Canis lupus familiaris: one gene and its partner. The protein of the gene in region 1 interacts with the protein of each later gene in a biochemical or structural test. Links are inferred from orthologs where the notes say so. Each region holds a gene or a part of one and is shown on either strand. Other genes may lie near its edges. The genes, in order: RACGAP1 and ECT2.

The links.
Region 2: the proteins of RACGAP1 (region 1) and ECT2 form a complex in vitro, tested with the Homo sapiens proteins (3 studies listed by BioGRID and IntAct, with this or other methods). The link is inferred for Canis lupus familiaris from reciprocal best matches to the Homo sapiens genes RACGAP1 and ECT2.

The regions. Positions count from the first base shown.
Region 1 is NC_049248.1:41,943,502-41,947,332, reverse strand, and holds part of RACGAP1 (rac GTPase-activating protein 1), read left to right. Parts: intron 1-1,001; coding exon 1,002-1,055; intron 1,056-1,775; coding exon 1,776-1,856; intron 1,857-2,435; coding exon 2,436-2,553; intron 2,554-3,712; coding exon 3,713-3,831.
Region 2 is NC_049255.1:37,204,756-37,207,971, reverse strand, and holds the end of ECT2 (protein ECT2), read right to left. Parts: intron 2,432-3,216; coding exon 2,165-2,431; 3' UTR 2,164-2,164; intron 1,040-2,163; coding exon of another isoform or gene 950-1,039; 3' UTR 569-949; downstream 1-568. UniProt on the Homo sapiens protein: Guanine nucleotide exchange factor (GEF) that catalyzes the exchange of GDP for GTP. Promotes guanine nucleotide exchange on the Rho family members of small GTPases, like RHOA, RHOC, RAC1 and CDC42.

The DNA of each region.
Region 1 (3,831 bases):
ACCTTTTTGAAATATAGAATGATATGAATAGGTTTGGGATATATAGTAAAACTAGAACCTATTAATAACTGATTTGGGAGCTAGACCAAATATGGTGTATCTGTTATAATCCAAACTGAATCAGATAATCAGTAGCTAAATTAAATTACTTGACCAGGAATTGGAGAGTTTAGATTTCATTTAGCTAAGCTACCATTTGCTCTCTACTGTTTCTGGGTTTTGTGTTTTCAGAGATTATCAGGAGTAAGTCATAGGTGGTTCCTAAAAGTGAATGTAAATGGTTATTTAAGTGAAGTGAAACTAGACCACGGTAAAAAAATTCTTCAGTGGTGAATGTCTTTGTTGGGGCCCAAGGAAGAGGATGTTTGAGAAATGTAAAGCCTGAACTAGAACTTGTTAAGTGGCTACATTGTACAGAACGTCTGGTTAGATGATAGCAATCCCTTAAGAGCAAGAAGGACATGTAACCTGATCAGTATAGTACCTGAGCTTCTGTGAGTTCTACAACTAATTACAGAAATAGTCAGAAATAAAGGGCCAGGCACTGGAGATAATCACGACAGAAGTTGATTCTTTAACCTTTTCTTGCCTCTGTGGTATTGACTCCTGACTCTATTATAATAGCTTCAATTTTGGAGATAAAGCAAGTTAACTCACCATAGCTCTATAGCTATAGCACTTGAGACCCTCCCCTTTCCCTCTCCCCAAATTGTCAGGCAGTCTGTCTCAAAAAGCTTTTCGAGGGGCGCCTGAGTGGCTCAGCAGTTGAACGTCTGCCTTCAGCTTAGGGCATGATCCTGGGGTCCTGGGATCGAGTCCCACATCAGGCTCTCTGTGGGGAGCCTCCTCCCTCTACCTGTGTCTCTACCTCTCTATTTCCCATGAATAAATAAATAAATTCTTAAAAAAAAAGCCTTTCAAGTTTTCTGTAAATTTATTTGCACAGGGTTTAGGGGAGGCCTAACCACAGAGAGAAACTAATGCAGTGTAATTGTCAACAGGATTGGGATTCTTCCTTGGTAAAGACTTTCAAACTAAAGAAGAGAGAAAAGAGGGTACGTATGGTTTTATTTAGTTTTTGCTGTTGTTTTTACAAAATTACAATAAAGGAATTTTCTCTAGAAGTTTTTCCATGATACAGCATTCCTGACTTATGTTGCTCTAATCATTTTTAAACACCTATTACAAATGAATTCATCCTGGGGGCTGTATTGCCAATCCTCGAGGTAGTAACTCAGGACAGAATCTTGTCCTATTTCACTGTTCTGGCTGCCTCAGTTCATTCATATATTGGAAAAGGATTTACTTAAGTTTGTTTTGAGTTGTCATAGGAATTTTTACGCAGGACTTTTGTACTCTAAAAAATTTTCAGATGAAGTACGTGTATAATGGGATATGCAGAGCTCTGTCTGTGTGTGCTTGTTTAGGGTACTTAATATGTGTCCAAAGACTTCATGTCTTTTGATAGGATTACAGCTCTACTTTTTCTGGTGCTGTCATCTAAATTTTTCCAAAGCTTGGTTGTTTCTTCCAGGGCATTGAGGGCATTTTTGTGTTGGTACAACTTAAGCTTTATGTGGAAATAGAATGATATATATAACTAACTAACTAACTAACTAACTAACTAACTAACTAACTAACTAACTAACATTGTTATTTACCATAGCCCTGGTACCTAGGACTTGTACCCAAGTTGTCTAATGGAATAATGTTATCTTCTGTGCTTCAGGTCTTCTATTTGGCACTAAACTAATTGGTCTTTGTCTCCTTTCCAGCGCTCTAGTAGCCGACAGTTCATTGATGGTCCCCCTGGACCTGTAAAGAAGACTCGTTCCATTGGCTCCACAGTAGACCAGGTAAGAATAGTCAGGCCAAGAGAATTGTGGTTGTGAACACATTAGAGATTAGTGGCCCCAAGCACTAAGAATCCTGAGTCAAGGGGCACCTGGGTGGCTCAGTCTGTTAAACATATGATCCTTGGGGTCCTGGAATCAAGCCCCACGTTGGGCTCCCTGCTCAGTGAGGAGTCTCCTTGTCCCTTTCCCTCCCCTTCTGCTCCTGACCCTGCTTGTGCTCTCTCTGTCTCTCTCTCAAATAAATAAATAGAATCCTGAATCAACGCTGTAATGTTATTTTGAGAGAGAGATTTGGTGAGTTTTTCTGTGTAATAATAGGATCCTTATCATCCACATGAATGGAATCACTCTGAGTAAACAACTGTTGGTTTTGTATTTGATTCTATGTAGTTGCTTATGTGTATGCCTCTGTGACCTATATTTCTGTTCTAAAGTACAAGGTTTCAACTGAGTGTTTTGAGCTAGGGCCTTAAGTCCTGGCCAAGATTTAGGAGTTTTCAGCCACTCCAAAACACCCTATAGTGGAGGGGAAATGAGATTCACATGTTTGTTCTTCCCTCATTTCTACTTTTGTTTCAGGGGAATGAATCTATAGTTGCAAAAACTACGGTGACTGTTCCCAATGATGGCGGGCCCATCGAAGCTGTGTCCACAATTGAGACTGTACCATATTGGATGAGAAGCCGAAGGAAAACAGGTCCATTGGGTTTCTAACTAAATTGCCTGTGTAAAACAACTAGTAAAATTGGGGGAGACTTGGTTTTTTAAGAACCTTTTGAGGCAGGGAGTAGATGTTGTGGGTGGTTTCTTACTGCTGCTTACTGAAGGCCAGGACACTGTCATACTCTACCTTTAGATTGCTAGCCTGCCCTATGCCACTCACATGTAACTCGTTGTTGTTTTTTTTTTCCTATAGATTATTTAAGAGTGAGAGTGGGGGGAGGGGCAGAGGGTGAGAATCTTCAAGCAGACTCCATGAGCATGGAGCCTACATGGGACTCGATTCCATGACTCATGAGACCCTGACCTGAGCCAAAATCAAGAGTCAGATACTCAACCTATTGAGCCAGCCAGGTGCCCTATAATTTGTTATTCTTTTTTTTTTTTTTTTAATTTTTTTATTGGAGTTCAATTTGCCAACATATAGCATAACACCCAGTGCTCATCCTGCCAAGTGCCCCCCTCAGTGCCCATCACCCAGTCACCCCAACCCCCCGCCCACCTCCCCTTCTACTACCCCTTGTTCATTTCCCAGAGTTAGGTGTCTCTCATGTTTTGTCATCCTCACTGATATTTTCACTCATTTTCTCTCCTTTCCTTTTATTCCCTTTCACTAATTTTTGTATTCCTCAAATGAATATAATGTTTGTCCTTTTCCGATTGACTTATTTCACTCAGCATAATACCCTCCAGGTCCATCCACGTCGAAGCAAATGGTGGGTATTTGTCATTTCTAATGGCTGAGGAATATTCCATTGTATACATAGACCACAGCTTCTTTATCCATTCATCTTTCGATGGACACCGAGGCTCCTTCCACAGTTTGCCTATTGTGGACATTGCTGCTAGAAACATCGGGGTGCAGGTGTCACGGTGTTTCACTGCATTTGTATCTTTGGGATAAATCCCCAGCAGTGCAATTGCTGGGTTGTAGGGCAGATCTATTTTTAACTCTTTGAGGAACCTCCACACAGTTTTCCAGGTAACTTGTTATTCTTGAAATGATTTTTCTGCATAGCGATTGTAGTCACTTCTGATTATGGTTACAAATTACTGGTCATCTACCAGTTATATTAAACTTGGGGTTAAAATTCAGAAGGAACAAAATATTAAGCTTAAAGTTGCTTGTTTTCTAGGTACTTTACAGCCTTGGAACAGTGACTCTACCTTGAGCAGCAGGCAGCTAGAGCCAAAAACTGAGACAGACAACTCTGGCACCCCGCAGAATAATGGAGGGATGCGCCTGCATGACTTC
Region 2 (3,216 bases), on another chromosome or scaffold:
AATGTATTTCAATTTTACACTTAATTATGAGACCAAAATAAAAGGTAGACCATACACATATCTACATATCTTATAGCAGATTAGTAAAACTGATGCCAATTTTAGAATTATCTCATAGAGTATATAATAGTCCATACCACAATTCCCCCATGGTCTTACCCTTCAAAATAAAATTCCTCACACTATCAAACTAAATGAAGATTTGCTAGTGGCTAAAATCACTCAAAATATATGGACCCTGAAAAAGTTACAAGTATATACTAATACCATGTTTGCCAAAATATACATTATTTTTTAAACTCTCTGTTCTTATCTCAATTTGCAAAAGTATTTTAAAACCATCTCCTTTAATTATTATTCTTGTTAATAAGGGCAAATCTTTTAAAACCCACACTCTACATTTTGAAAACATTAGAGAATAAAATAAACTGCAACAGAACAGTTAAATAACTACTTCAAACAGCACATTTGAAACAAGTCCCCACTATTAACCAGAAATCTGTGCAGGTGTTTTATCTAGTAAGTTCTGTATTATCACTTAATTTCTTCACAAATTGAGATACACAAATAGGAATTTCCAAAAATTCATTCATGGACACTATACACAGAGAGTCACAGCAGTATTTGGTACTCACCAATATAATTTATTTACTATTATCAAGTTGCAAGGCTACTAATATGAATAACTTAAATTATTGGTCTTAGAATGAAGGATTCGAGTGAAGAGAAAAATTACATCAAAATCAATATAATTTTTACATGAATTAACTCAAAAATATGTAAGAGGTTAACCTTACTCATTCAAGAAGAAAATCAAATGACAGTTTTAGTGTTATCTATATTCTTTCCAGCTTTCACCAAGTGCTAATGACAAGTACCATTTAAGTCAGTTTCTTATTTGAACATGAAGTGTTTATAAGTTGCTTTAAATTAAGACTTTTTTTAAGCTTCATATCAAATGAGTTGTAGATCTGCTTAAAGTATGACTTCTTCTTTCAAAGAAGGAAGGTAGGCTGATAAGGGAGGGAGATGGGATACCCTGTAAAGACAAGACAAATATTTTTATATTTAAATTTTTTCTTAAAAAAAAAAATAACATTTTAGCATCATGCAGATTATTTTTACAACCTAATGTAACAATTTTAAAACATCTGAGAATTCTAAACTCTTTAAATAAATGAATTTAAATTAGGGGATGGGAAAAAAACACAAAAGTATTTTAGCATTCTGAAAAACAAAAAGAAATGCACAGACTGGTTAATTATATATTAAGTCAACTGGGATACTGGCTTACTGGTAATAGGGTATTTCTGTGTGATATTAAAGACTGTTTCAGGTTCTTTAAAAAAATTATAAATTAGTAAGTTTTTGTGGTAAAAAGACAAGCCCTAGTAGTTTCTTCTTAATCATAAAGCAAAATTAAGAGAGTGAAATTACTTCATGAAAAATTGTTCTCTAAAATTAAAGGTCATATATTCCTAGAGAGTTTTTGTACTATGTGTGCAATTCATACATAGGTGTAGGTGTATAATTTTGCTCCATGTAAAAACAGCAAAATATAGCACTTCTGAAGATTATTAAGTTACTAAGCTATCTATATTTGTTTCAGAGGTCAAAGTTAAATATCATCAGAATTTTCAATAATAATAAAGAAACATGCGCAAGAACACCAAAAATTGAAGAGTGGGTGTAAATCAAGATGAATTATAAAGAAAGCTATTATTGCTTTAACATATATGAATGTCTAACTGTAAGTAAACCTAGAGCCAACCAAGTAGCTGATTGTAAGTTCTCATCAACAATGTAGTAAAATGTAGTATTTATTTAAAGAGCTACGTTGGTAAAGTATTACCATTTAAGTGATAACAAAGATGATTTAAGAAGATAGTATAAAAGCTTAAAGTTTCTTCAAGCGAAGCGTTTATGATTTGCCATATTAAAAAGCATGAATTTTATATAAATGCCATAAATCTAAGATTAAGAATCAGATTTGGAATAAAAATCTACTTTACATCAAAATTATTACTATTCCTTAAAATGCTCACTTTCATAAATAGGAAAATTTCTAATTTCTAAATCCCCACCCACTTAATAATGATTCAGTGAAGAAAGTATACTTTCTTCTTTTCACAAATACAAATTTCAAATAGCTAATAAGCTCACATTAAACTTCACGAGGCTTGTTTCCATTACTGGTTGGCATATCTCCTAATTCTTCACAAATATCAAAGATGACTTGGATAGGACTTTTTTTGAAATTTGAAAAATCAATAGTTCCTTTTAGTATCTCTGAAAAACTAGCTCGTGAGGCAGAATGACGGATAGATCGAAACCAGGAGTTTTGAGAGCGCCCACCAGTAGAGTTTGAGCGCTGTACATAAACATGCTTAGTAAATCCAATTATATTGCTTGTGGAAACAGAATGGACAATCTGTTAGAACAGAAATAAGCAATTGAGAAGAGGACATCAATGTTTTAAAGATATTTTACATACTTATTTATGTTATCTACAAAGAAGTGACAAAAGCTACAAATAATTTTCTAAAAATTTTCTGTGAATTCCAATTACATCCATTTGAAAAGCAATGTTTATAAGAGTTACGTAGGTATGTAGATGCGGGACATAAACAAGGGACAGGACTTTGGCCTTACTGTATTGTCTATTATCTATTAACTCATTTTCATTTATCAAATTTCTTTGCATATATCTATATTGTCAAGCACAACTTCCCTTCCACTGGAAGGTTAATCTTCCTCCAAAATTTGTATAAACATACTCATACATTTAACTGTAAGTGTTTAAGACTTAGACCTAACTAGCTTTTAAAAAAATAAGAGTTACTAGATGAGGTGCGTTAACACCTCATCTATAAATTTCATATAAAAAAAGGTAACCATTCATAAAATGCTAAACCACTTATTATATTCCAAGAACTGTTCAAAGTCCTTTGCGTATATTAACGTAATTAATCTTTACAACTACTACTTTAAATTCATCTTACTGATAGAGAAATTGAAACAGAGAGATTTTAATAACTTGCCAAAAGTCATACAGCTACCAAACAGCAGAGCCAGGATTTGAACATGTGAGTTTCAGAGTTCATGCTCTTAACCACTATTCAAATTGCTTCTCATTAGATAATCACATTGTGTATGTATGTGTGTTTAGTCCTTATTGTAACACTACAGGGTTAAGTACTATTAGCCTCTTTTTTT